Arabidopsis thaliana: one gene and its partners. The protein of the gene in region 4 purifies or fractionates together with the protein of the main gene of each other region. This does not show direct contact. Each region holds a gene or a part of one and is shown on either strand. Other genes may lie near its edges.

The links.
Region 1: the proteins of ACX1 (region 4) and AT2G20420 fractionate together in Arabidopsis thaliana (co-fractionation; one large-scale study listed by BioGRID). This does not show direct contact.
Region 2: the proteins of ACX1 (region 4) and MSD1 fractionate together in Arabidopsis thaliana (co-fractionation; one large-scale study listed by BioGRID). This does not show direct contact.
Region 3: the proteins of ACX1 (region 4) and AT5G14590 fractionate together in Arabidopsis thaliana (co-fractionation; one large-scale study listed by BioGRID). This does not show direct contact.

Annotation. Positions count from the first base shown.
Region 1 is NC_003071.7:8,803,111-8,810,001, forward strand, and holds AT2G20420 (ATP citrate lyase (ACL) family protein), read left to right. Parts: upstream 1-2,231; 5' UTR 2,232-2,463; coding exon 2,464-2,562; intron 2,563-2,745; coding exon 2,746-2,856; intron 2,857-2,938; coding exon 2,939-3,050; intron 3,051-3,147; coding exon 3,148-3,212; intron 3,213-3,307; coding exon 3,308-3,385; intron 3,386-3,494; coding exon 3,495-3,569; intron 3,570-3,675; coding exon 3,676-3,828; intron 3,829-3,911; coding exon 3,912-4,046; intron 4,047-4,135; coding exon 4,136-4,300; intron 4,301-4,386; coding exon 4,387-4,509; intron 4,510-4,598; coding exon 4,599-4,748; 3' UTR 4,749-5,061; downstream 5,062-6,891. Other genes in the region: AT2G20410 (RNA-binding ASCH domain protein), read left to right, coding at 1-7, 124-174, 256-315, 410-949, 1,043-1,084; RIC6 (ROP-interactive CRIB motif-containing protein 6), read right to left, coding at 5,557-6,015, 6,248-6,354, 6,599-6,671. UniProt on the Arabidopsis thaliana protein: Succinyl-CoA synthetase functions in the citric acid cycle (TCA), coupling the hydrolysis of succinyl-CoA to the synthesis of ATP and thus represents the only step of substrate-level phosphorylation in the TCA.
Region 2 is NC_003074.8:3,415,731-3,421,843, forward strand, and holds MSD1 (manganese superoxide dismutase 1), read left to right. Parts: upstream 1-2,209; 5' UTR 2,210-2,284; coding exon 2,285-2,579; intron 2,580-3,057; coding exon 3,058-3,104; intron 3,105-3,184; coding exon 3,185-3,310; intron 3,311-3,421; coding exon 3,422-3,478; intron 3,479-3,597; coding exon 3,598-3,675; intron 3,676-3,758; coding exon 3,759-3,851; 3' UTR 3,852-4,162; downstream 4,163-6,113. Other genes in the region: AT3G10915 (Reticulon family protein), read right to left, coding at 371-537, 715-784, 888-1,029, 1,126-1,306, 1,647-1,726, 1,859-1,974; AT3G10930 (uncharacterized protein), read right to left, coding at 4,498-4,803. UniProt on the Arabidopsis thaliana protein: Destroys superoxide anion radicals which are normally produced within the cells and which are toxic to biological systems.
Region 3 is NC_003076.8:4,701,761-4,709,515, reverse strand, and holds AT5G14590 (Isocitrate/isopropylmalate dehydrogenase family protein), read left to right. Parts: upstream 1-2,689; 5' UTR 2,690-2,888; coding exon 2,889-3,147; intron 3,148-3,301; coding exon 3,302-3,345; intron 3,346-3,432; coding exon 3,433-3,542; intron 3,543-3,658; coding exon 3,659-3,696; intron 3,697-3,788; coding exon 3,789-3,866; intron 3,867-4,017; coding exon 4,018-4,071; intron 4,072-4,155; coding exon 4,156-4,257; intron 4,258-4,349; coding exon 4,350-4,438; intron 4,439-4,518; coding exon 4,519-4,622; intron 4,623-4,708; coding exon 4,709-4,777; intron 4,778-4,863; coding exon 4,864-4,979; intron 4,980-5,079; coding exon 5,080-5,114; intron 5,115-5,191; coding exon 5,192-5,334; intron 5,335-5,486; coding exon 5,487-5,609; intron 5,610-5,889; coding exon 5,890-5,983; 3' UTR 5,984-6,218; downstream 6,219-7,755. Other genes in the region: AT5G14602 (methyltransferase-like protein), read right to left, coding at 1-80; AT5G14600 (S-adenosyl-L-methionine-dependent methyltransferases superfamily protein), read right to left, coding at 494-756, 1,216-1,460, 1,550-1,998; AT5G14580 (polyribonucleotide nucleotidyltransferase), read left to right, coding at 6,503-6,823, 7,061-7,216, 7,307-7,477, 7,572-7,697. UniProt on the Arabidopsis thaliana protein: May be involved in response to oxidative stresses.
Region 4 is NC_003075.7:9,422,002-9,430,582, reverse strand, and holds ACX1 (acyl-CoA oxidase 1), read left to right. Parts: upstream 1-1,688; 5' UTR 1,689-1,893; coding exon 1,894-2,031; intron 2,032-2,160; coding exon 2,161-2,269; intron 2,270-2,356; coding exon 2,357-2,418; intron 2,419-2,498; coding exon 2,499-2,708; intron 2,709-2,797; coding exon 2,798-2,885; intron 2,886-2,970; coding exon 2,971-3,133; intron 3,134-3,265; coding exon 3,266-3,464; intron 3,465-3,730; coding exon 3,731-3,928; intron 3,929-4,091; coding exon 4,092-4,223; intron 4,224-4,565; coding exon 4,566-4,686; intron 4,687-4,805; coding exon 4,806-4,916; intron 4,917-5,010; coding exon 5,011-5,080; intron 5,081-5,176; coding exon 5,177-5,360; intron 5,361-5,443; coding exon 5,444-5,653; 3' UTR 5,654-6,049; downstream 6,050-8,581. Other genes in the region: AT4G16765 (2-oxoglutarate (2OG) and Fe(II)-dependent oxygenase superfamily protein), read left to right, coding at 56-112, 195-240, 324-403, 543-609. UniProt on the Arabidopsis thaliana protein: Catalyzes the desaturation of both long- and medium-chain acyl-CoAs to 2-trans-enoyl-CoAs. Most active with C14-CoA. Activity on long-chain mono-unsaturated substrates is 40% higher than with the corresponding saturated substrates.

The DNA of each region.
Region 1 (6,891 bases), on a different chromosome or scaffold from region 4:
TCAAGGGGTACAACAATTTTCCTTATTACTGTGTTCTATTCTTTGACATTGAAAACAGCTCGTTATCGATGATTCTTTAGTATAATAAGCAAAAACCTCAACTGTTGTTTTGGTATGTAATAGGTGAGGCTTGAAGGACAAACTAACTTTTGTTGGCTATGTGAGAAGCCACAGGTGAAAGTCACTTCATCTTTTGGCTGTTACTGTTTTGTTTAGATTGACTTATTTGACATTTGATTCTGTGAACTCTTCCAGAAACTGATTATTCCATTTGAGATGCGTGGGTACCAGGGCGTCTATAACTTAGAGAATAAGGTAATCTTGCTGTTCTTCAAAGCCTAGGGATTGGTGGGTTCTTGTTGTAGTATAAATTAGTACCAGTTACTTACTGTATTTCTAAATGAAACAGATTTATGTAGCAGCAGCTAGAGGTCTTATGCCTTCTCAAAACTCTTTTAAGGTGAAATTCCCTCTTCCTGACCCAAAAGACCCGTTTTCCTTAAAACCTGGTTCTATTCCTTGTACAATGCAAGAGAAGAAAGAACTTGATTCAAAGCAAGTTACCAGCCTCACAGCTGCAATCAAGCAAGTTACCAGCCTCACAGCTGCAATCGCCGGTGCAAAAGCAGCGGCGACACAATTTTCTAAGAAGGGACAAAGTCTCCAAACAAATAATATATTTGATTACACAACAAGAAGCAAGAGCAAAGTTATTGAAGATGAAGCAGCAGAATCCCTAGATAACCCGGTTCTTGGTTCTGGTGGAACGTCTGACCGTACTTATAGAACAAGAAGCAAGAACAGAGGCACACAGATGGGTGAAGAAGTATGTAGTGAAAGCAGCAACAGCAGCAGCAAAGTTGAATCTAGTCAAAGAAGTGCAGTCACAAAGAGTGAGGACAGGAATACAAGAATTGGTGAAAGAAGGTTTGATCCTGGATCTGCCCGGGTACGTTTATTATCTTACATTAAGCGATAATTACAACAATAATTGTTGACTTTGTTGTTGTCTGATTTTATTTCACATGTGGAATTATTTCAGATCATGGCCGCTGCAATTAGGAACTTGAAGCCACCTTCTTGATCTAATGCGTCAAGGTTGTACCATATTTTGCATTCTTTCTAAAACATGTTCATTTCAAAGTTTGAGAAGTTCGTTTTAGAGTTAGTTTATAGGTTTATTGTATACACATTCAATTTAACTTATATGAGAGAATAATCATGTGGACTAATAAATACACAGAGCAATGAGTTTTGAGTAGACTGTTTAGTCGAATTTTACTAAATTACTATATTTTGGTCAGATTTAGAAGAATGTTTATATTTTTGGGGGGTTTGTCCCACATCGGTAGTTTCAAAATATCAGTTGTGTATATATTTAGTCGAAAACGAAAACAAGTAACAATAGTCATTGGACAAAGTGAATGGGTCACATGGGCTTGTCTAAGTTCCGACCCAGGAAAGTCCCCGGGCCACTTTTCGCAGAGATGCGGCCTCGGTAACGAGAGAATCATGCGGTGGAGAGATTCTATAAGCTGAGACGCGTGTGTGGAGCTTCTGTTGTCTCTCCGTCGATGACATCATGGCCGTTCGATTCACGACAGTTATTCACTTGGTCCTCATCGGACTAACTGAACGGGGCTTATGTTCCAATGACAACAATTTTTTTCTTTTTGAGTAATCCCGGTTTACTCAACTTACTCAACCGTACCGGTGGAAGATTCCTTACAGTAATACTAAAGCTTTTGGCTTAGCTCATTTTGGTGATGATAACAGTAATATCATAAGTACATAATAAATAATTGAAACTTTTGTAAGTATCCTCATTTTTTCAGAAAGTAAATAATATCAAATGTATTGAGAAAACAATAAATGATCATTTTTTTATTTTAATTAGACTCAAAATTAAATAACTGGAAATTAAAAAACCAAATAAACTGAAAATTATTATCTAAAATACAGTAACTAAAAATTTGTCTTGTCGATAAGTCGGATAAAATTTATTCATATAAATATTTAGTCATATACAAGTAAAATAATACTACAAATAATACACAATCAGTCGATGTTATATACAATAAAATTATAGATTTATAAAGGAAAAAATTATCCGGCGATATATCTGATGTCAATCTCTAGTGGGTTAGCATTTTTATTGAAAAATTGTATTGCTTAGTTTTTTTATTGTTATATTGTTAGTGAATTAAAATGGTACTTTGGTATTTTCATATATAGACTTTTTGAAAATAAAATCTTAGATTTTTTCTAACAAGAGTTACCAAAAATATTTTGGAATTAAATGAGCCGGCGACATAGAAGAATAGAGAGGGTTAAATTGAAAATTCATAAAGTAGGAAAAAATTAGGGTTAGACTCGATCATTCATAGCTGCGACTATTCTCTGCTCTTTCTACATTTTCTCATTTTCTCTTGGGCTACTTTTCGACTACTAACAAATCCAACGATGAGGGGATTGGTGAACAAGCTCGTGTCCAGATCTCTCTCCATCTCCGGGAAATGGCAGAACCAACAGCTTCGTCGTCTCAACATCCACGAGTATCAGGTTCTTCTTCTCTTCATTTCCATTTGATAGTTGCCTAGATTCGCTTTTGTCAAGTCAGAATTCGAGTACGATCTGTGTCTTTGTCTGTTGTTTCTGTGTTGATCCACTGATTGATTTGTGGTTGATAGAATTCTCTGGGTTTAGGATAATGTAAAGTTTGTATTGTGATTCTGATACAACCAGGGAGCTGAATTGATGGGGAAATATGGAGTTAATGTGCCGAAAGGAGTAGCTGCTTCTTCGTTGGAAGAAGTTAAAAAGGCTATTCAAGATGTTTTCCCTAATGAAAGCGAGGTAAATTCAGTGAGGGATTCGATTCTAATCTCTATTATTAGTTGTTGTCTAATTGAAAGAGTGTCATTTTCGTGTGATACAGTTGGTTGTTAAGAGCCAGATTTTGGCTGGTGGAAGAGGTCTTGGAACATTCAAGAGTGGTCTTAAGGGTGGTGTTCACATTGTTAAACGTGATGAGGCTGAAGAGATTGCTGGTATTGTACAGGATTTCTTGTTTGTGGCTTTCTGGAGTCTGTTTTTTGTTGTTGTTGTACAAGTTATTGATCTATTTCAAATCTTTATTACTTGTAGGAAAGATGCTAGGACAAGTACTTGTCACCAAGCAAACTGGTCCTCAAGGCAAAGTAGTTAGCAAGGTTTGTTATCTGTTATTCATGATTGGTGTTTTTTCTTCTATTATTGTCACTGCTCTTGCACCTTTGTTTATTCATTGTGTCTTCATTTTGAGCAGGTTTACTTGTGTGAGAAATTGTCACTCGTCAATGAGATGTACTTTTCCATTATTCTGGACCGTAAATCTGCTGGACCGGTATGCTACTACGCAAATGATGAGCTGCTGCTATTCATTTCCCTACTTCTAGGCATGCTGTTTTCATACCCTGCTGTAATATCTAAAACGCTTTCCTTTCCTATATCAGTTGATCATTGCCTGTAAAAAGGGTGGTACCAGTATTGAAGATCTTGCTGAGAAGTTCCCTGACATGATCATCAAGGTTGTTACTGTTTGATTCGTATTTGGTGGTCTGATCTCCAGTAAATATCATTCTGAGATTCTTTCTCATGCGGGTTTTTGACACCTCAAGTCATGGTTTTGCGTAGGTACCAATTGATGTATTTGCAGGAATCACTGATGAAGATGCTGCTAAGGTTGTGGATGGTCTGGCTCCCAAAGCTGCTGACAGAAAAGATTCGATTGAACAAGTGAAGAAGCTATACGAACTCTTCCGCAAGACTGACTGCACAATGTTGGAAGTGAGTTCTCTCTCACTGTCTTTTTTCTACACACTTCTTCAGTTATAAATATCTTTTGTTGAACCTCCAAATTTCTCTTGTAGATCAATCCCCTTGCGGAGACATCAACTAATCAATTGGTAGCTGCTGATGCCAAATTGAACTTCGATGATAATGCTGCGTTCCGACAAAAAGAGGTTTTCGCCATGCGTGATCCAACACAGGAGGATCCACGAGAGGTCTCTGTCTATCTCTTGTATCATCAAGAAAGCCATTGTTATGTTAATTCGATAGGATGTTAAAAGGAATAGTGTGTTGTGTCTCATAGGTGGCTGCTGCTAAAGTTGACCTGAACTACATCGGTTTAGATGGAGAGATTGGTTGCATGGTGAATGGTGCTGGATTGGCCATGGCAACCATGGACATCATTAAATTACACGGTGGAACACCCGCCAATTTCCTTGACGTTGGTGGAAATGCTTCTGAGCACCAGGTAAAAGGAACCTTCTTTCTTTCTTCACTTTTGGGAATCATTGGAATGAAAACCAATTTTAATAGAGGTTTGTGTCAAAAAATAAGGTGGTGGAAGCGTTTAAGATACTGACATCGGACGATAAAGTGAAAGCAATCTTGGTGAACATATTTGGTGGGATAATGAAATGTGATGTGATTGCTAGTGGAATCGTGAACGCTGCAAAAGAGGTGAGTGAGAAACAACCTTGTTACCATAATATTTCATATATTCATGATTGAAAATAAATCCGAGTGTTTGTGTGGAATGGCGAGGACAGGTCGCATTGAAAGTGCCAGTGGTGGTTCGTCTAGAAGGAACGAATGTTGAGCAGGGAAAGAGAATCCTCAAGGAAAGTGGAATGAAACTCATAACAGCTGATGATTTGGATGATGCAGCTGAGAAAGCGGTTAAAGCTTTAGCTCACTAATCTCTCTATATATACCAAAAGCCGGTTTGTTAATTGTTTTGTGGTTGACGCCCAATTTACACTTTCTTGCGGATATCATTTCCTCAAACAGATCAATAATGAACTGGTCTCCTTTTTTTGTGTGATCCATCCAAAGAGATTCAAATCAGAATTCTCAATATCTTTTTGTATTTAACCAACTCATATGGTTGATACTAGGGTTTCAAGTTTATCTCATACGTACTGTTCCTATCATGAATAAAAATCGTTTTTGTGGGAAGCCACACTATAGCTGTCACTGAAACAACAAAATTAATCCCTCTCTCTACAAAAGGCTTTCACAAAACAGAGCTGTCCTCTGTTTCCAATTTAACGGTCAAAACGATAAACTTATTTTTTGATAGAATGTTAATTATATTACCAAAAGGAAAGAAGATTATTTACAAAAACTTTTGACCAGGATTGCAGCTCCATTGTTGTAGTGATGCAGCTCTATTGCTGAGGGCTATGATGAAGAGGAAAATCACACTAACACTACTCAGCTCTTGTCCAAGAAGTTTTTATTCATATATAGGGTTTCTAGTAAAGTGAAAGATGCTGTTGATTTGTTCTGTAAGAATGCTCTTTTATATTTATGATCGACGTCAATGATGATCTATGTTCAAGTGATTTGGATGATAGCACCGAAAAATATTTGTCTAAATTCTCCTTGCATAGTTAATAATAGTACAAGAATGAACAAGAAAATCTAACAATTGGTGTGTTGTGTTCAATGAAAATTAGCCATTTGGAGCTAGCAGCAAAGTCTCTATATATGTCGTCTCTCCTTTCAAAAATCATCTCTATTGTCGAATTGAGGCATAGATCTCACAGAACCAGTCTCAGACATATATTCCGACATGTTATCGACATCAGATCTTCTTGTCGATCTTGATGACCCTCCATTAACCGCGGTTTCTTTCGTCGACTTCTTCTTCCTCCTAGATTTCTTTGGAATTTCCGGTAATCCACTAGGCCAAGAAGACAACTCGTCTTGTTCTTCAGTGGCTTCCTTTGGTCTCCTCGACGATGACGATGTCCCTTTGTTAGAAGAGCGACGTTTAGTTTTGTCTGATGATTTGTCTTTTGTCGGAGAACCTTTCTCGGACGCTGCTTTCCTCGTAGATTTTGGTAGGTTTGGCAAATCTCTAGACCGACCACCATATTCCGACATACATTTTATGGAGGAATCATCTTCTCCGACTCCTTCAGCAGATTCGAATCCCCCGCCGGAGTTGAACTCAGTCATCTTTCAAATCACATAACATTAACCAAATCAATTCGACATTTTCTGAAAACGTTTTAGGTCAAATTTTTAATATATATGACCTCGTAGATTTGAGTCAAGTATTAATCTAGAGCTCACATCCATCCAAATATGCGTAGGATAATAAAACAATCTTTCATTTGCCTATTTTATCACGATTATTGTTTACGCCTTTTAAGAATTACCAAAGAAGTAGAAAAGAGTAAAAACATACCCAGCTTGGTGCGGTGGCATTAGCGGATGGTCCATCCCAACCGATATGGGCAACATGTTTTACGTCCGTTGGATTTCCGATTTGTATTTCTTCTTCTTTTTCACTTTCTATCATCATTAAAAGAAAGAAACAAGAAAGTATAATCAATCATTTAGATTCATCCTCAATCCATATAAACGTACTTGCAATGCATGCATGCAAATTTTCTACGTGATTTGCATCATAGTAATTCAAAACTGATCATGAAGTTCGAGTTTTTATATAAGGAAAAAAGGATTTATCATATGTATAAACTCTTATGCGAACAAAAATCAGAAGAAATTAAACAAGAGATCTATAGGGTGAACTTACCAAATACTTGAGAAATGTATCGGAGCCCTTTCAAGAGGCTTTTCATCTTGGAGCTTGACATTGTGAGTTGCATAGATCTCTTTTTAGGTTTATGATTTCTTTTTTAAATAAGAAAAATGGGAGTACAGAAGAACAAAATGATAGGTTTTGAAAACTCACTTTTCCCAGAAAATAAGAAAGTGGTGGCAGTAAATATTGAGGAAACAAAATGATAGATAAAAAAAATTGTGTATATAGTCAAGACTCCAAAATATTGTTCAGAGAGAAACAAGAATTCATCTCAGAAAATTGTA
Region 2 (6,113 bases), on a different chromosome or scaffold from region 4:
TTCTTTTCCTGACGTCATATTTGTAGCAAGTCCGATTAAATTGTGTAAGTGAGGTTCTTCTGTGACGTGAACACGTGACCTAACATTCTCAGCATATGGGCATTAAAGTTGGGCTAGTCAAATCCATCTGAAATGTGAGTATTGTTCTGCGCCACGACGTCGTTTAACGAACAGCGGTGTTAAACTTTTTTTGTATTTTTTCCTCCAGTGGTGTTAAGCTTCAGACGAAGGCAAGAGTTAATTTAGTTGAACAAAGAAACCATCTTATATTCATTCTGGATATGGCGTTTAGTTATACTACAAATGGTGAATAACAAGAAAAGCTAAACAAAAACAAGTAAAAGCATTCTCAGAATCACCAAAGTTAAGCTCATGAATCTTTATCCTTGGATAAGCTCCATGAGAGTCTGCTTATAACATTTTCGTCTACTATTTTGTAGTGGTGAGACAACCGCCTGTGAATCGTCCCGCAACACTTGTCTACTTTGCTTTGATATTTACTGTACAAAGCCGGTATTGTTACAGATAGGATGGTCCCTGTTCACACCATAAAAAGTATAAACTTCATATAAGAATTTGGTTCACTGAGTTTAAAACAACAATGTCGCAGGAACTAAAACGAGATCAACAAGCCAACGTGGGGGATGAAACTGAAGGATCAAAAAACATAGAAGCTTTTTCCTTTCATTTGCATTTAAGGATCAAGTTACTAACCGATGTAAAGAAGAGTGCAGAGAGATATATAGCTACCAATGGCAGAGAGAAGCCACAGACAAATCACCACCTGCTAAAGAAAAATCGTCAGACCAACAGTTCAGATGCTTAACGGTTCCCATGTCATTTCACTCAACATCATCGTGAGTTTCTGAATGGGTTAGCTTCATAACCTTGAAGAAGAGTCGAAAATCGTTGCCAACTGTGACATCATGAGCCATTACAAGCAAGTGATTGAGTTTTATACGGAAAGAAGCTGCAGCACTATTCACCATTTCCTCTGATAGAACAAGCTCTGGCAACGAATGCAACTGTCTGCTTATAAAGAGATAACAGGTAGAAATCATCACTAATCAGTCACATAACAGCAAAGAATTAAGAAAAAGAAGACTAGTGAAAAGTAGAGCGCACCTATTCCTAAAAGCAGAAACCCGGGCATGAACGAATGATATCATGATCACGATGAGTAAGACATCCGAAGAAACAGATAAGAAAGGCAACCCGGAAAACTCGAATATAAGCCAGGCTACAGTTGATATAATGATAACCCCCAAAGAAAGATGTCGCCTCCTCCATAAGAGCAAGTCAGCAGCTACATCAAAGAACAAAGCCATACAAAAATCACAAACAGTAGCTTTTTGCTGGACCTATGAACTCATCATGCGTATCCAGAGATTTGAATCAATCAATTTCTCATTCAAAATCAAACCTAAACCTAACTTTCACCTGCCAAGTTTTCCATTTTCTACTATACCCAAAATGCTAAATGTACTTACACACATGACGATTTTCACAACCAACCAAAATCAGAAACCCTAACTATTCCAACTATCATCCCCAATTTGAATTTTCTGTTCTGTAAATCCGAGAAAATTCTCATCACAAACTACCAAAATGATGAAAAAACACAAATTCTGGAAAAAAGAACTCGCCTTTGCCACCACCCATGAACTGATGAACCGTAATCTGCCGACCCAACAATCGATAATCCGATGACGATCCTCCTTCATTTCTTCCATCGAAATCACCATCGATATCACTTAAACTATCCATCGGAGAATTAAAAAAAAAAAACCGAATTTACACAAATTCTCCGACTTCCAGGTTCCTATTTCGATCTCGCCGACTCCGATTTGAAATTTACCTTAAAGATACGATCTCAGTACAATGGTTTGTGAAAGCAGCTAGATTGATGGGAGAATGACAGCGATTGGGTGGATTATCAAGGAGGAACCAAATAGAATTGGCTTTCACATGCATCCAACAAATTCAACATTTGGAAATTCTCCGTTTCTAGTCAACTTTCTTCATTTCTTTATTTTTTTCCTGTGAACAAACAAAAAAGTAACATTTAGCCGTCACAAAATATTAAAAATTACGCTTTATTATATTAAGGCCTTGGGCTCACTAATCCAATATTACGGCCCATAAATAAAAATCACATGTCTACGTGTCAAAACAGTCACTTTTCTCTATACATGACAGGCAGTGATATTATCATAACCCTCCACTTATACACATGTTCATTTTTGGCGACCACTAGAAGGAGAAACAAATCTTCATTCCAACAATGGCGATTCGTTGTGTAGCGAGTAGAAAAACCCTAGCCGGCTTGAAGGAGACATCATCGAGGCTATTGAGGATCAGAGGGATTCAGACTTTTACGCTTCCTGATCTTCCTTACGATTATGGCGCATTGGAACCGGCCATTAGTGGAGAGATCATGCAGATTCATCACCAGAAGCATCACCAGGCTTATGTTACTAATTACAATAATGCTCTTGAGCAGCTTGATCAAGCTGTGAACAAGGGAGATGCTTCCACTGTTGTTAAGTTGCAGAGCGCCATCAAATTCAACGGCGGAGGTGTGTTTGTGTGTCTGACTCTCTTTTTTTTTTTTTTTTACGATCTCGATTTCTATGTGTTTGATCGATTGGTTTGTGTTTAGATCGTGTTTGGATGATATTAGCAAATGAAGTAGTTGATTTAGGAGAGAAATTTGGTTTGAACAGTGAAGCTGATGAGTAATTTTGATGAATTGGGATGAAACTTCTGTAAGAATCAATGAAACTTTTATCGGTAATGCAAGCTTTCTTAGATAGCTACTTTTGTTTGCTGGGTCTTGAGATCATAACCAGTTGATTTAGTATAGAACTTTTGTTAGGAACATTGAAGCTGTTGATTAATTTTGATGACTATAGTTTGGTATTAGGATTGTTGCTTCTTGAGCTCCGGACCGGTTGGATTGATAGAAGAGAAATTGGCAGAGAAACTATTGGAAATAAATTGAGTTTTTTGTGTGCTAGAGAATGGGAATTGATCGACTTTATTTCTAACGTGCAGGTCATGTCAACCATTCGATTTTCTGGAAGAACCTTGCTCCTTCCAGTGTGAGCTTGTGTTTTGAGTTTCTGTGTATTTCTTCGATTTTGTTGTTCTGTAATTGATGGTTTGTTTTAATGTATAACAGGAAGGTGGTGGAGAGCCACCAAAAGGATCTCTTGGTAGTGCCATTGACGCTCACTTTGGCTCCCTTGAAGGTCTGGTGAAAAAGATGAGTGCTGAGGGTGCTGCAGTGCAAGGCTCAGGATGGGTGGTCTGTAGTCTAGTTTCACCTTTTTATTTCATCTGCTCACATTGTCGACTCTGGTGCTTTACGTATAATAACCATGGTCCTTGATTCGCTTGTTTCTGTTGATTAATTCAGTGGCTCGGACTAGACAAAGAACTGAAGAAGCTAGTTGTTGACACAACTGCCAATCAGGTAACTTATCCATGATCAGGAATGCGCTATTGAATATGTTCAAAAGATTTCTTGGTACTCATGAACATCTGTGAGAATAATGGGTTTTAAAGAAAAAGAGTTTGTTTCGGTTGGTGCAGGATCCATTAGTGACAAAAGGAGGAAGCTTGGTACCTCTGGTGGGTATAGATGTTTGGGAGCACGCCTACTACTTGCAGGTAACAACACTTTTGATACCTTAAGTCTCATGAGTTAGCTTAAAAGATTAAGCTCTCTAATCAATCTGTATTCTCTCATTCAGTACAAAAATGTGAGGCCTGAGTATCTGAAGAATGTATGGAAAGTGATCAACTGGAAATATGCAAGCGAGGTTTATGAGAAGGAAAACAACTGAATCGTTTACACGATGACATAAGGAGATGAACCAGTTCCAGCTCAGCTTTTGTTTTAAGGTTGTCTGAAACAAACTTACAGTGTCTCTTTGGTTTTTAAGATTTGCTCAACTCAGCTGTGTGGTACGTTGTTTTACAATGAAAGTTTTCAAGAATAAAAATTTGCTATTATTGTCAGAAAGCGCTATTGTTTATTCTACGAAGAAAACAAAACGGAATCTTATTGGTATAATAATTACCTCATTTCAATAAAACAATAACTAATTTTCTCGTTTTTCACTACTCGACACATATATGACAGGAATATTATAACGAAGAAATTTGGGATTAATGAAATTTGTGAAATAATGCATACACACTTGTGTAATAAAAATGCATTATCTTTGTGTCTGCGTTGTGGAAAATGGATCATAGTCAAGTCTCATAAAAAACGCGTTCAATTCAATTTATACATATTTCGCCTAACTTTTGATTCTTTACGCCTTGGCCCCATTCTTATCTTTTAATTTTATCTCTTTCTTGGAAGTTACCCAAACACTAATACAATGTCAATTCAAATGGTATCCTTGACTCTTTTATGCGTTTAACTTAAAAGACTTTCTTAGTCTAAATAAAATTGATACATAATCATAGAAATTAAAAAGCTGATTAACGTTTATCAAAGAAATATTGATGAAACGATACAAGATGATAGTCTAAGTCTTGATCATTTCGACTTACATTACCAAATAAAATCCTCATTTTTCCTAAACTTCTACTGTAAATTTCTGTAATACATGTAACATTTACAATAATCTCTATTTGAAAACGAAAAATCAAAGAATCTCTAAAGAACAAAAAAAGAAAGAAGTAAGAATTAGGACAGAAAACTCTAGAAAGAATAGTGCTAAGTCTTGACGTCGTTAGTTTTCTTGCTGGGTCCAGACCCCGGACGACTCCCTTTCGGAAGAGCATTCAACACCAAGGACCCGAACTTTCCGGCGACAACTTCAGGAACAAAAGAAGAATATTCCGTCTTGGTCTCCTGCTCGCCTCCGCAACCAACCACCGCCGACTTAGAAACAGGAGGGATCTCTCCGGAGAAGATGACTGGAACAAACTCTCCGGGTAAGATCCTCGCCGTCGATAGAGAAACAGAGATGAAAAGAAGAATCAAAAGTAAAGATCTGTTAATCGCCATCTGTAAAAATCTTTTTGTGGACTATTTTTTTGTTGGATTAGTCTTGCTTGGTTTGTAAAATGATGAAGTGGGTGAAGATCAAAGAGAGAGTGTATCCATTATATATATACGGAGTTTGTGAAAGTGCGAAAGGTCAATGGGGGGAGTTGGAAAACTTACGCGGCAAGTGTTCGGACTAAACAATAGTGTTGAATAAATTGGTCCTTTCCATCGAGTCCAATTAAAAATATCATTTTCATTTGTAACGAGTTAACTTTTTTTTGTTTTATTTTTAAAATTCTAAACGTGTGTGGTAAGCTGAAATAAAACATAAAAAAACAATGATTCGGTTATCGATTTTGGTTGAAATGCAATCAATCAACAAAGATGTGCTTAGTTTAGAAATAGGTTTAAATGAAATATTAGAAAACACAAGAGTGAAAGAGACCATTGAGAAACAGAAAACGTTTACATATAATTCGGAAATATGATATCAGTTTATTTTATTTTATTTTTACTTTTTGTCAAAATTGTTGTGCTGAAATTGATAGATTACTTATTATAGTGCATGATCTTGTATTACATGGACATTTTGAATAACATTCACGAGTTTCATCATCAAGTATAATATTAACAAGAACATTTAAACAGAGGTATGCAACTATTGCATCTACTTTGTGAACCCTATAAGTTTGTCGTATGATCATCAAACTATACAAATATTTTCATGAAATGAATGTGCATATCAAATCACAAAATAAAAAGAAGATAAGATTTACACTTTTTAAGTCATTAATGGAATTTCCAACTGCTACCAAGAAAAGCCGTAGCCCACCGTCACTTTTTGACCGCGTCCTTCTTCTTGTTCCCCAAGTCTCTCCCACACTCTCACCGCCTTTACACTTCCATTAACGTGTGTGTGAAAGAGATATAACTTTTGTCTCCTTTATTAGATGAGCCAAATTTTCAACATTAGATTGTAGATAACACGAATGTCATTTGTTGGATATTGCGGTGCAACTTTACGGTTGCTCATGAGAGTTGAAAAATATGACTTAGCAGTCATATTTTCTTCTTGTTTAAGCCTAAAGTAGGGTAACGAGAA
Region 3 (7,755 bases), on a different chromosome or scaffold from region 4:
GTAGAATTCACCGTCCTCCACGCGATATATCCTGCGAGTACCGCCGAGAAGAACACTAATACAAATCTCAAGGGACACATAATTTCTTGATGGATAAAGGGAAAATTATAAGAAGAGGAAAAAAGAATTTGGATTTTGATCTCAGGCTTTCGAAGAATGGATCTCTAGGGTTTGTGAATAGACAATTGTAAGAGAAAGAAAATTAAACAGACGTTTTCGATATTTATAGAGTGCATTACATGTCTCCTTCTCCCATCGAGAAAAGGAAACGCGTTTCTATTTATATATTACTTGTAGAACAATTTATCTCTAGAAACTACTATTTATCATATTTCAAAATTTTGGATTTTGGTTTTGTCATTACCAAATTTCGAATTTTGTATTCTAGAAACAAATTCACAGCAATTATTTTTTTAACAAAAAGAAAGCGTAATAAGACAAATCATGAAAATATCTAATACATGAATATCATAATGTAGTTGGAGAATTTGGACTAAGCTAGACATTGGAGTCTTGCAAACGTTAAGTAACCGGTGTGACCTCTTGCTTCACTACAAGGCCGAGCCATGACGACTGAAGAAGCATTAGAAGAGTTGTCCTGTGAAACAGTGTCGTTTTCGTTTGAACGGTGCTTTCTCTTGCAAGGCCTCATTCCTTCATTGTCCTCCTCGTGGCTCTCACCAACCATGCTACTGGTATCCATTTTCACTTCCTTCACTTCATATGTTCTGAGAAGCACCTCAAACGTTCTTATCTCTGCAAAAAACAAACTCATCATGAGCAAAAACCGGTATAAGAAAGAATGAAACTCTCAAGGAAATAAGGACTTATATGCCTATGACAGTTGGTTTTGATTCCCCTGACTTTCCAAGGCCAAAGAATGTCAAACTATTTCTCTAAAGATACTTATCTACTTAAAGCAATCCTTTCGACTTATTAATCCAAAGATGTGTGACCATAGAAAGTCGATGATACATATTGGAAAAAATTGTAGACTAAAGAACAGAACTTCAGTCTATACAACATGATTTTAGTACTAGCCACTAGGATTTGAAAATCGAGGAGAGGTTCAGTCCCAAATTCACTACTTTAGTACTTTGATTTTTAGGATCCTTCCAAGGCAAGAGCATTCGGATAATGTGTAGATCTAGAGCTCTTTTAGTTTGAGTTGGAGAAGAAAGTAGAAAGAGATGTTGTAAATCAGAATAAACTTACCAATGAAATCTGATCTGAGGACTTCACAAGTCCGTTGTACTTGCTCGATGCAAGGTGAGAAAGAGCATAGAACTCCATCCTGCTTTAACATCTTTGCTGCAGAAGGAACCGCAAGCCAAGGCTGTGGAAGGTCTAGAAACACAGAATCAGCCAAACCTGACAGTTTCTCAGGAAAACCCTCTCCTTGAATGTCTCTAACCTCTACGGTTACTAAACTACTTATGCCCGTCTTCTCAAAATCTTCCCTGTTGCAAAGTAAAGTAAAGGATGAATAAATACTATAGCTTCAAAAGAAAAGCACAACGAGATAGCTAAAGAAAACGAAAGTTTCTACCTTGCAGAGACAGCTCGCTGCTCATGGAAATCAAATGAATAAACGTGTCCAGTTGGAGCCACAGCTCGAGCAAGTGAGGTCGAAAGCGAACCACTACCTGTGCCTGACTCAAGAACAACACAGCCAGGCACGACTTCTAGATACATAACCACAAAGCTAATATCCGCAATGTAAAGAATTTGAGTCCTGTGGCTTAAAACCAATGTCCATAGTTCAGGAGTAGGAGCCAACAGGTACACAAATTTACCCTTGTTGCTGAATACTTTCGTCCCTAATGGTTTCCCAATCCAATCCGAGTGCTTATACACACCAAAACGGTTCTGAAGCACACCGTCTTTACTTACTTTAACTGGTTTCATCACATCATGTCTTTCGTAAACAATAACTAAGTCCCCATCTTCAATACACCTTTTGAATGAAAAGGCTTTCTTTGACTCAGTTGGTAACATCTTGAGATTATGAAATCACTTGTAGATTGAGTTCCAGCTTCTGCTCTGCAATTCCAAGTCTCATTGTTAATTACTAAACAACACACTTTTTAACTCAGAAAACAATGAATTCTCACAAATCACGATATATATTCCCAATCTAGCTATCAATCCAAAGCTACGCATTCTACGCAATATTGCACAGCCAATCAAACACATTGAGATTCAAAATCATTGTAATGAATTAGCTTAGATGCACAGAAGAAAAACAATTTAAAGTTTGATTAAGTTAAAATTTAAGAAAAAAGCTAGAAAAATCCCATTCACGGATCCAAAAGTCCTAACTTCAACGAAGAGACACAATTTTTTAATACAAGCGGGTAAAAAACTGGAACCAAACACAATTACCAGCTTCTATAAGATAAAAAGCTGAAAGAAACAGTTTAACAATAGCGAAAAACGACAGAAATACTCACAGAGGAATAATCACGAAGAAAGCTAAGAACTTGAGCTGATAATGGAGTTTGGGTAATAATGTTTTGTGAGAAGGAAGAACAATAAATCTGACCAGACAAAGAAATAAAACCTCTAAGTAGGGTTTTCGCTTTCCTTTTTTCAAATCAAATCGGACATTGAGACCAACCGGACCATATTACAGATTTGGTACCTTCGAACCGGCAAATCCGGTTTGGGTTTATATAGACAGAAAAATTTACTGGGCCTTATGTTGGGCCTACTGAAATAATCTATACGGCTCTCTTTTCCTTCTTGTTTACCTTGCCTTTTCGCCGGAATCGTCGATTATTAGAGAGCTCAGAGCACACTTTAGCAATAAACTTGCCGACCGAAAGCTGCAGATTCACTGATTCAGTGATCGAAGTTGAGAGTTTGGGTTGAGGTCGGAGTCTCGGATGCTGAATAAGCTCACGCACGGCGTTTTCACGTACCGTGCCAGCCTCACCGCCATGTTATCTTCTTCAACCTCTGCTGGTTTATCGTCTTCGTTCGTTTCTTCGAGATTTCTTAGTTCCGGTATATTCTCTAGTGGCGCTTCGAGGAATCGCGTGACTTTTCCCGTTCAGTTTCATCGCGCATCAGCTGTTCGATGTTTTGCTTCTTCAGGCGGTTCTGATAGAATTCAGGTTCAGAATCCTATCGTTGAAATGGATGGTGAGATTCTTTGCGCAATCAGTGTTCCTTACTTACATTTGATCGTAGTTTCCAGATAATTGGTTGGATTGGTATAAGTCATTTGTTTATGTTCTTACTGAATTTGGTATCTTTGAGAATGTTTCTAATTTGTTTATATTTTGTGGAAATTCAGGCGATGAAATGACGAGGGTGATATGGAGTATGATAAAGGAGAAAGTAAGGATGTAATTTATCACCAAGTCTGCAACAGTTGGTTCATTTTTTTTTGACAGAGCTCACATGTCTGATTTCTTGTCTTTGCAGCTTATTCTTCCTTATCTGGATTTGGACATTAAGTACTTCGACTTGGGGATTCTGAATCGCGATGCTACTGATGACAAGGTTACAGTTGAAAGTGCAGAAGCAGCTCTTAAGTAAGTGCTATTGATTCTTTGCATTTTCTATGGTTTAGATTCTTTTAGTAACAGAAAACATTTTAATTTCTATGTGAAATAAGCTGATTTCGCGCTTAAAACTTTTATGTTTGCAGGTACAATGTTGCTATCAAATGTGCCACTATAACTCCTGGTATGTGATGTCCTTCGCAAATCGCAACACATATGCTGCTTGTTCCGATCAGAGGAAGCATTTTTACATCTTCTGTATGTTATTTTTGGCAGATGAGGGTAGAGTGAAGGAGTTTGGACTGAAATCAATGTGGAGGAGTCCTAATGGGACGATCAGAAACATTCTAGATGGTTTGTCTCTGTATTGTCAAAAAACAATGCATGTTTGCTGAATAGGAATATCTTGGTTAAATTGCTTGCGACTTTTTATTTTATCCTGTTAGCAGGTTCTTTTACAATCTAGTATCTACACATTTCTTACACAGTGTTCTATATTTTCTAGGAACCGTATTCCGTGAACCTATTATGTGCAGCAATATCCCCCGGCTTGTTCCTGGTAAATTTATTTGCCTTGTTATGAATCTGTGTTAGGATCTGTTTTGAGATACCAAATGAGAACTCAAATCTTTTGTCTTTATAGGTTGGGAAAAGCCTATATGCATTGGTAGACATGCCTTTGGTGACCAGTATCGTGCCACTGATACAGTAATTAAAGGGCCAGGAAAGTTGAAAATGGTTTTTGGTAAGATCATACCAAACTATATTCATTAGACAATGAGGATTCTTCAATCATATAGTTCAGATTCTAAGTGGATACATCTCTTGTCTAATTAGTCCCAGAAGATGGAAACGCACCTGTGGAGCTAGATGTATATGATTTCAAGGGCCCAGGTGTCGCACTTGCTATGTACAACGTAGATGAGGTCTGTCTCTTTTAGTAACTGGCTTTAGTTTTGGCATGGTTTTGGTTTCTGACAACCATGCTGGTTTTGTGACATGCCAGTCAATTAGAGCTTTTGCTGAGTCATCTATGGCGATGGCATTAACTAAGAAATGGCCATTATACTTGAGCACCAAGAACACAATTCTCAAGAAATATGATGGCAGGTTTGTTTTTATCTTCTTGGTGATTTGAAGTCTGGGTTTCACTTTTCAGCAAGCGAGCTGCTTTAATATGTGGTGGAACAATACAGATTTAAGGACATATTTCAAGAAGTTTATGAGGCGAATTGGAAGCAAAAGTTTGAAGAGCACTCAATCTGGTCCTTTTTCTTAAAAAATTGTGTTCTGCGTCCTTTTTCTTTACATATTCATTAAAGGTAATATGTGAATAATACTGTTGGTTTAGGTACGAGCACCGGTTGATTGATGACATGGTGGCTTACGCAGTCAAAAGTGAAGGTGGCTATGTCTGGGCTTGCAAAAACTACGACGGTGATGTTCAAAGCGATCTTCTTGCCCAAGGTATAAATTAAAAAATATAGTTCTTAAAATTATTATTTTTGTATCGATACAGCAACTAAGATACTTAATGCTTCCTTTCTTTATTCTTTTCTAAATGTAGGGTTTGGCTCATTAGGCCTCATGACCTCCGTTTTGGTTTGTATCGTTAACCGAAAGCCAATATTCAATTTTTCTTTGCAAATGAAAGTCTTGATATGATATGTTTTGTTCAGCTGTCCGCTGATGGGAAAACACTCGAGTCGGAAGCGGCTCATGGAACAGTAACTCGGCATTTCCGACTGCACCAAAAGGGACAAGAAACCAGTACTAACAGCATAGCCTCAATATTTGCATGGACACGCGGCTTAGAACACAGGTCTCTTGCCTTTCACACACGGTCTACATTACTAGTTAACTGAGTTCTGCATTTCTTTATGCATTTACACTGACAACGTTCTTGTGTCTTGTAACCTAGTTTCTCTTGATTTTCATTTTGATGGATTTTTTTTACCCTTTTTGCTTCTCAAGGGCGAAACTGGATAAGAACGAGAAATTAATGGATTTCGTGAAGAAGCTCGAGTCGTCATGTGTAAACACTGTTGAGACAGGGAAAATGACCAAGGATCTTGCCCTTTTAATCCATGGTCCCAAGTAAGTAGTCTTTCCTTTTCTCACTAGCAGCAACTTTTCTATTACAATCTGGTCATGTGCATGAAATACGAAAGAGCTTAATCTGTCTTGAACTTTAATGTGAAATCAAATCCAAACTGATCCTGTTCCAAGCTGATGAATGTGCTGAAAACTCTAATTAAGTTGTGTATTTTAATAGAAAACCATATAGAAGCCAAACCGATTCATACTGGATTAAGTTATAATGCTGTTACTGTTCTATTATCGTTCTTGATGGTTTAATAAAACATTTTTAATGCAGGGTGAGTAGGGATTTGTTTTTGAACACGGAAGAGTTCATTGATGCAGTAGCCTCCAAGCTCAAAACACAGTTCAAAGAGCTTCCTCTTGTCTGACCATTCCTGGGAATTGGGAACAATACAAAAATAATGCTCGCAATAATTCATAACCCAACACAAAACAAAAATAATATTGGCGGGTTTATATGAATATTTTGGTTGGAAATAAACGTTTTTGCTTAATTTTTCCAATTTATTTTAAAAATTTGAGTGACAATATCTGTTTTCAGTTTCGTATCCAACACTAATTTATACATACACTAAAAAGTGATCAATGGCGATTTGCAATATCAGTTTTGCTGGGTTAAGTAGGTGTTAAAATTGTTGAAAATGAACGGTATACTTGAAGAAATTTTGTCCAAGAATCAAAATCTAAAACAGAGATCATAGGCGTCGGTTTAATGTTTGTAAATTCGATTATTTATAGCAGAACCGTACCGAACCAGACCGGGACTGCTAAAACCCTTCTTTTAGTTTTCGTTGTCGGCTCAGTCCTCACTTCACCGGTGCGTTAAACCCTTTTCCGTTCTCATTCCCTCTCTTCTCCGCATCTCTCACTCTCTCTGTGTATGTGTGATGTCATCGATTGTGAATCGAGCTAGTTCAGCTTCTCTTCCTAATTTCCTCGCATGGCGTGCTCTGGGGTTTCGCACCATCTGCTCCGGCCGCCTTGGTTTCGCTCCGTCTGTTCCAGACTCGCCGGTCTCCGCAGGAACCAAAATTTTGGAATCATTTAAGGAGGAATTCGAAGTCGGATCCCGCGTGGTCTCGTTTGAGACTGGAAAAATCGCTCGCTTTGCTAATGGTTCAGTTGTTCTCGGCATGGACGAGACCAAAGTTCTCTCTACTGTTACTTGTGCTAAGACCGACTCGCCTCGGGACTTCTTACCTCTCACTGTATGTTACTAATCTCCCCACCATTTCCCTTTTAGTTACCGATTTTGAATGAATTGTCTTAAGGAATCTATGATCTGTGAGGAATTAAGAAATGGTCTAGAGATGTTTGGTACCTTTATGCTGTATACATTTGTAGAATTCTCTCAGGAATCTGCTATTGAAATTGCTTTATCTGTAATGGTTGATGGTGATTTGTTTAAACTGATGTTTATGATTCTTCTTGGAAACTACTGTCAGGTTGACTATCAAGAGAAGCAATACGCTCAGGGATTGATTCCAAATACGTATATGCGAAGAGAGGGTGCACCAAAGGAGCGGGAGCTGTTATGTGGCCGGCTCATTGATAGACCAATCAGACCATTGTTTCCTACAGGGTTTTACCATGAAGTTCAGGTATGAAAATTTCTAAAAAATCTTTGGGATATAGATCTATGTGAAAGTTTGTTTTTTGGTATCTTCATCTGTAAATTTTGTCACATGCAGATAATGGCAAGTGTTCTATCGTCAGATGGGAAGCAGGATCCAGATATACTGGCAGCTAATGCATCATCAGCTGCGCTCATGCTATCAGATGTTCCATGGGGAGGGCCCATTGGAGTCATCCGGATAGGAAGGATATGTGGGCAATTTGTTGTCAATCCAACTATGGATGAGGTAAAAAGTGGTATATTGGTATATTCTCTACATTTACAAATTGTAGCCTCTGTTTTGATTTTTTGTATCTTTGTTGTGGTCGAACTCTGTATAGCTTAGCTCAAGTGATCTCAATTTGATATACGCTTGCACAAGGGATAAGACTATGATGATTGATGTTCAATCCCGAGAAATCTCAGAGAAAGATTTAGCAGCTGCTCTGAGGCTAGCTCATCCAGAGGTAGGTTCGAGAACCTTTGTTGGATGTCCTAGTATAATGTAATATTAAATAGTTTTGA
Region 4 (8,581 bases):
ACTAGTTTATGATGAGAAATGATTGTTGAAATCCGGGGACTTTCTGTAACCGCAGGGCGTTTATAGTCAACATTGGTGATATGATGGAGAGATGGACCAATGGATTGTTTCGGTAAACTTAAACCAGTTTACCTAGTCGTGAGTGCGGTTTTTATGCGTTCTTCACATTTCGTATTTTCTTGTAATGGGTTTAGGTCTACATTGCACAGAGTGATGCCGGTGGGAAAAGAACGTTACTCGGTAGCTTTGTCTTGTTTCTTTCTTTCTAATTTCTATACAAATTGATAAAGTTTTGAGTTATTTAAAGGAAAAGTTTTTTGTAGGTGGTGTTCTTCTTAGATCCCAATCCAGATTGTAATGTGAAATGCTTGGAGAGTTGTTGCAGCGAAACTTGTCCCCCAAGGTATTTCTTCTTGAATCTTAATCCAATTTAAGGGTGTGAGGAGAGGCACGTTACACGTTTGTTAAATCATTTGGTCTTCAAGTGTAAAAGAATAAAAGTTTAGTCCTTCTCTCATAAAGATTTAGTTCCATCGGTGCAGATTCCCGCCTATTCTCGCCGGCGACTATATCAAGGAGCGTTTCAGGCTAACATACGCCACTTCCTAGTCTTATGTTTGTGACGAAATGTAAGAAAAAAATAGTGTTCAAACTTCTACGTACCATAATGTTTAATTAGTGAAACTTATGGAACTTGAAAATGATTAGTCAGTCAAAGTCTCAAAGATAGACACGTTTAAAAGCCGTGGAACTTGAATGGGCGTTTACGTGTTTGGACCATACTCATACACATGGCGAATTTTCTGTGGTTTATAGGGACATTACTGTTTCAATTCAAAAGACAAACATTTTAATATTTACGAGAATAATACGGTTGTATACAAGTGTAATTACTTAACTATACTTTGAAGGAAACACAAATATTAATCAAGTTTTACCATACAGTTGACAAGCAAATGCATTTGACAGACACAAAAACACAAATGAATGTTGACATAGACCATACCCAAAATCACATTTCAATATCAAAATCTATATATATATATATATATATTTATGTATTTTCGTTATTATTTGAACCTGCAAAACGCAGTCACCATTCGGGCCCTTAAATCTTATTTTTATTTTCTTCGAAATGTGCATAACGCTACTATACCTGCAAAGTTGGAACAAAATACTATTTTAAACACAAGATAACAAAACATTATCTTATCTTCAATCTAACTATTTTATCTTCTTTTTATCAACATGTTCTTCAGATGCATGCATTTACTAATTCATATGGAAACACATATGGGAAAAAGAAAAAAAAATTATCCACACATCTGATTTAACGATATTTTAAATTTTATTTTAGTACACAAATACTGAAATACAACCACTTTTTGTCTGTCAAATATCCTTTGTTATACAGCATATAAAATTTTCTATACGTAGATATCCTTTTTTTCTTAGTCAAATATATATATGAGGGGGAAAAAATCACATTATTCCATACTTGCGAGGTTTTATTTGCAAACAACTTAATTTGTTTTCAACATTCGTTGACTAATTAACTTATATTAGGAATATATAATCCAAAATTTATTATTTTCCACGTGGGTTTTATCTATGTCGGAGAGTGGATCTGAGAAAAAGATAAACCCAAAATATATTAATTATAGAAAGAAGAAAAAAAAGAGTCTATATTTAAATCAATTTGTCTTTCTCTTCTTTTATCTCCGAAATAAAAAGCTTAATTGTTCTTCCAACTACTCTGCAATTAAATCGGTAGAGTGAGGCATTGTCCTTCTTTTTCTCCCTCTGTTTTTTTTTTTTTTTTTTCCTATCATCTCTGAGAGTTTTCTCGAGAAACTTTTGAGTGTTTAGCTACTAGATTCTGAATTACGAATCATGGAAGGAATTGATCACCTCGCCGATGAGAGAAACAAAGCAGAGTTCGACGTTGAGGATATGAAGATCGTCTGGGCTGGTTCCCGCCACGCTTTTGAGGTTTCCGATCGAATTGCCCGCCTTGTCGCCAGCGATCCGGTGAATTTCTTCGCGATTCTCGTTGATTTTTGTTCTGGTTTCGTTTGGATTCCGGGAAATGTTTTTGCGGCGAGGGAATATGATTAGGTCTCTCTTAGATTTGTGAATTTCTCAATCTTGTTTATATAGGTATTTGAGAAAAGCAATCGAGCTCGGTTGAGTAGGAAGGAGCTGTTTAAGAGTACGTTGAGAAAATGTGCCCATGCGTTTAAAAGGATTATCGAGCTTCGTCTCAATGGTATGGATTGTTCTCACACACGTATTGTTATCAAGGTTTTTTGATTGCGTCTTATTATTGTGCTCTTTCATTTTTTGTTTGTTACAGAGGAAGAAGCAGGAAGATTGAGGCACTTTATCGACCAGCCTGCCTATGTGGATCTGCACTGGGTACTACCTGCGTCTCATTTATCTTCTGGAGACAGGATTTTGATTCTTTGATTCATTGTTTTTGTATCTCTGCTCTATAGGGAATGTTTGTGCCTGCTATTAAGGGGCAGGGTACAGAGGAGCAGCAGAAGAAGTGGTTGTCGCTGGCCAATAAGATGCAGATTATTGGGTGTTATGCACAGACTGAGCTTGGTCATGGCTCAAATGTTCAAGGACTTGAGACAACTGCCACATTTGATCCCAAGACTGATGAGTTTGTAATTCACACTCCAACTCAGACTGCATCCAAAGTAAGTATACCAAGAAGCCTTTGATTGAGTATTATGCACAGTTTCTCTTGGTTGTGTAAGATTTTCATCTGTCTTGATTGTTTGAATAGTGGTGGCCTGGTGGTTTGGGAAAAGTTTCTACTCATGCTGTTGTTTACGCTCGTCTCATAACTAACGGAAAAGACTACGGTATCCATGGTATGTACCGGGAAAAGTTTCCAGTATTTTTTTTTTGTTCAATTTTTCTTGCTTGGGTATTGCTTTCTTAAACTTTCTCTTCCAGGATTCATCGTGCAACTGCGAAGCTTAGAAGATCATTCTCCTCTTCCGAATATAACTGTTGGTGATATCGGGACAAAGATGGGAAATGGAGCATATAATTCAATGGACAACGGGTTTCTTATGTTTGATCATGTTCGCATTCCTAGAGATCAAATGCTCATGAGGTCCTCTCTCTTTGCCTTTCGGGTCTGATTTTAATTAGCATTCACGATGTAATGATAGTTCTAGAGGAAATTGCTTGTGCATAAACTCGGGCTTATGGTTCTACATTTTTCTCCTCTTTCAAAACGTTTCAGGCTGTCAAAAGTTACAAGAGAAGGAGAATATGTTCCATCGGATGTTCCAAAGCAGCTGGTATATGGTACTATGGTGTATGTGAGACAAACAATTGTGGCTGATGCTTCCAATGCACTATCTCGAGCAGTTTGCATAGCTACAAGATACAGTGCAGTGCGGAGGCAATTTGGCGCACATAATGGTGGCATTGAGACACAGGTACTTATTCAAAAATCAAGGATACGCATGGTTGTTTACACCCATTGATGTTGGATCATAACAAATTTCAAAGTCTATTTTACCTTGAAAAACTTTGCTTGTAAGAATATTTTGCATATTTAGCCAAATTTGTCTGTAAGTTTCTGGTGAACTGTTTTTCTTCGGCTTGGTTTTGCATAGCTTTTTAAAACTCTCATCAACGTCTGCTGACTATTATGTTGGCTAGAAAAGGGAATGTGATATATTTATGCTTGTTGTTATCACAGGTGATTGATTATAAAACTCAGCAGAACAGGCTATTTCCTCTGCTAGCATCTGCATATGCATTTCGATTTGTTGGAGAGTGGCTAAAATGGCTGTACACGGATGTAACTGAAAGACTGGCGGCTAGTGATTTCGCAACTTTGCCTGAGGCTCATGCATGCACTGCAGGATTGAAGTCTCTCACCACCACAGCCACTGCGGTAAGTTCCAGAGCTGATCCTTTATACTCACTAGACTAGATTGATTGGTTTCGTTTCTCTGAGGATCCAACTGCTCACATGTTGGAAGTTTGTTCCCTCCTTGACATTGTTTGGAGGTGTATTTAGAGTTGAAAATTCAGCTTAAGGGTACTATTGGGTGCAGGATGGCATTGAAGAATGTCGTAAGTTATGTGGTGGACATGGATACTTGTGGTGCAGTGGGCTCCCCGAGCTGTTTGCTGTATATGTTCCTGCCTGCACATACGAAGGAGACAATGTTGTGCTGCAATTACAGGTATTTGTCATCAACTGCGAGCTATTCTCACTTACTAGAATAAATCTGTCAGCTCAAATAGATTTCTTAGCATGTGGCTCGTTATCTTATGTCTCTCTGGACTTCTGTCAGCTCAAATTGCTTTCGTATTGTGAGCTTTGTACTTTCTTAGATATGGTTAATTGCAGGTTTATGTCAATTTCTTCTGTTTCATATTTTATTTTGGCTTTTTGTCACCTGCAATTTGTTTTTTTTTGTTTTTTTTCTGGTTGATATGCAAACCACATTTAACCGCTTTTGAAGTGTTTGGTTCATTGTTGTTTCCCCAATGTTTCCGACAATTCAATTCACGCTATTGTTTAGGTTGCTCGATTCCTCATGAAGACAGTCGCCCAGCTGGGATCTGGAAAGGTTCCTGTTGGCACAACTGCTTATATGGGCCGGGCAGCACATCTTTTGCAATGTCGTTCTGGTGTTCAAAAGGGTGAGTTTTCAAGTTTAAATGTCTTTTTCTTCGTCCTGCTACAACTACAAACTAATGATCTTGTCTCAATATAATTCCCGAGTTAATGATAAAGTTGGTTTTTTTTTTTGGGCATGTAGCTGAGGATTGGTTAAACCCTGATGTTGTACTGGAAGCTTTCGAAGCTAGGGCTCTCAGAATGGCTGTTACGTGTGCCAAAAATCTCAGCAAGTTTGAGAATCAGGAACAAGGTACTCTTCTAACTCCATGAATCCAGAACAATTGGTTGCCATGTCAGCTCATAAGCCAAAGGACCAAACTCTCACAAATTCTTCCTGTCTGCAGGATTCCAAGAGCTCTTGGCTGATTTGGTTGAGGCCGCTATTGCTCATTGCCAATTGATTGTTGTTTCCAAGTAATCTTCTTCTTCACCGTTTACACGTATCAAACAAGTTAATGATTCTCCCTCTCAATGTCAGTTCCTGAATTTTGTGATCTTTGTCTTGGTTAGGTTCATAGCGAAACTGGAGCAAGACATAGGTGGCAAAGGAGTGAAGAAACAGCTGAATAATCTGTGTTACATTTATGCTCTTTATCTCCTCCACAAACATCTCGGCGATTTCCTCTCCACTAACTGCATCACTCCCAAACAAGCCTCTCTTGCTAACGACCAGCTCCGTTCCTTATACACTCAGGTTCTTTCTTCCTCTCTCTCTCCATCTCTGCATTTGATTCCTTTTTAAGCTAAGTTTTAACACGTTTTTGTTGCTTCTTTTAGGTCCGGCCTAATGCGGTTGCACTTGTGGACGCCTTCAATTACACCGACCATTACTTGAACTCGGTTCTTGGCCGTTACGACGGTAATGTGTACCCAAAGCTCTTTGAGGAAGCGTTGAAGGATCCATTGAACGACTCGGTGGTTCCTGATGGGTACCAAGAATACCTTCGACCTGTGCTTCAGCAGCAACTTCGTACCGCTAGGCTCTGAAGAGTTTTCTTTGCTTGATACTCGATATGGTTAATCACATTAGACTTGCTTCGTCCTTCTTCTTCGTCTTCTTCTTCTTCTCGCTTTGAATAATTTCGCAGTTTAAAAACTGGCGATGCCCTTATTTATATGTAGCAATGTAATAGTTAATGTACGATCGTCATATGGCGGAATTTTAGTACTATTTTTCGTTTTCAATGCAACATTAATACAATTGATCGTTTCTACTCTGAGAAGGATATGTGGGATATTTGTAATCTTCGTATATAGTCCAATCACATATATTGACATTTCTCTATTGCTTTCGTTAAGATTGTATTATGTAATATATAGGGTTAGGGTTACTTAGGCAAAGTTATTTCAGAAATTATGCAACTTCCATTGTAGAAATTTTTTTTACTCATACGCTGATATTTTAAATAACTGTTCACTCCGTTTTAATTTAGTTGTTGTTTTATCACTTAAGTTTTGTTTTATAATTATTGTTTTGGATTTTCAATGCAGATATTTTGGTAAAAATTTTAGTTTTATCTTCAAACTTTTAATGTCTTAACTAATTAAAAAGTTAGAGAATATATTGAGCATAAAGTAAAAAATTAATTGTTTTCTTAATTTTTGTGCAAAACTTTAAACGACATGTAATTTAAAACAGAAGAAGTATAATTTTTAAAAATGTAATTAAGCTGTAAGAAACAGTGGTTTGTAAACAAAAGAAACCTGTTTTTCATATATCCTTCCATTAAATTTTCACCAAAAACAAAGTTTGGGAGTTAACCCACGATTTCAATGTAATGCGTCGTAGGAAGAAGAAAAATTTGTTTGCAACATCAATATGAAAGAGAAGTTTGCTTAAAATGAAACATGCATATGGAGTTTTCAGGATTGTGCTTTGTTTCAATTAGCATCATTTTCCGACAGAAGACTTCCAGACCTTTATATTAATTAAGCATTTAATAACCGAATTTGGTAGGTAAATTAAAATAGAGCAAACTAATGTTTTGGTTGTAATCACCTTTATCAACCAACTGTTTTAAAAAAACTAAAAAAGAGTTTCAAAAGTGGCATTTATCTTTCATTTTCTAATGGTTAGTAGTTAAAGTGTTTAGGGAATTAAGACATCGACCCGAATTAAATTTTACTTTTTCTAATATATTTTCTTCACCAAGCTAGCTAGCTAATCTGACTTTCTACTTATTTATTCCCTTATTTAAACTTACGTACAGTTTTAACTTTTAAGAGTGTGTCTGTATATAAATCCATTAATCTATATATTATGATATTTATCTTAAATAAATATTATTGGTCGAGATATTTTTATGAAATCTGAACAGAAAACACTCCAAACAATTTACAGTACTTGCCAAAAAAAAATTACAGTAAAAAAATTCTTGATTTCATAAAAAAATCACTCAATTTGTTTACTACTGAATAATCAACATATCTCTATAGTCTTTTCACTTTTATGTAAAACGTTTATTTTTATTTTTATCTTAGTCTTAATCGTCAAATGGACCCCACGATAAAACTAATACGTAACTTGCTCCCTCTATATGATAATGTATACATTTTCAACATCATACTTTGTACATATACTGATATACACTACATGTGTTTACGTCGTTTTGCGTACGTGTGTCGTCCACAGCAATCTTCACTCAAATTCTTTACTAAAAATGCTTAATCTTTAAATTCTATAATATATCAAAAAAACTTCTACAATTATTTAGGAACGTATATCCGCAAATGTGCATAACCTAATCCGTCTATTAAGCAAACGTCCAAGTAAAAAACATTGACTGACAGTTGTTAAATAATATATTTTAAAAAAAAATTATCGTTACTAATAAATGGCTAGTGGGTTCATTCCAATTCTTTCACTTTTATTAATAAGTCTATGTTATTTTATGTCAATATTTAACATTTTCGCATCAAAATGGAGTATATAGGACATACTTTAACGGTTTAACCCCTGCTAAAATGACAAGAATTCAGATATTCAATAACGTGATACAATATATAAAAATATATAGATTATATATATAAACGTAAATACTACTATTATTACCTGAGGCATTTTTTAATGAGTTAACTCTTAAGACGAATTTTATTTTATTGCTAAATTAGTTTTATTTGTCGAAATGTGAATTAAATTAATTAATAAAAAAAGATATTTACAAAAGTGTTTGGTCAAGAAAAGAAACAGAGCAATAATATCAGAACCAAAACCAGAGAAACTTATGAAACAGAGCACACAAAGCTAACGAACTAGGAGTTGCGTCTCGACTGAAACCATAGCTGAAGTAGTCCCTGGAGGCTGGAGCTTCCGATTTTCGAAATAGTGTAGAGGCGTATACTGCTAAATTAATAATGAGATTTAAGATGTATTAATATTAACCTTGTCTTTGTCAAACTTAATCCGAGTGAAAAACGTGGGTTAGCTTTGTAGGCAGACATGGGTCATGGTCGGGCAAACGAAAATATGACATTTTTGGGAAAAAAACAAAAGACGGAAATTAGAAAAATTGTAAAGTAAACTAAAAGTAAATTCGGGCCCACAAGTTACAATTGAATCTAATTTTTTCTAAAATCTACTGTACTGTGAAAATGTCTACACAAACAGAAAAAAACAAATGATCTCAAGTTATATCCACATGTAGTAACTGGTGGATCTACTCGAAAATAGATATTTCAAACTTCAATGAAACGATGGCCAAAGCATATGTCAGAACTTTAAAAGAAATATTATATTATAATTTTAGATAAAATTCTGTTTTTTTCTAACCAATATATTTGTCTAAAAATTGGTTCAAAACCAAACAGAACAAATTAATTTAAATATCGATTTCGGGCTGTTTCAAGTACGTATTTTTTTAATTTGGAAGAACTTGGACGATTTAGGAGAAACGAGTGATAACAGTACACTAGAAT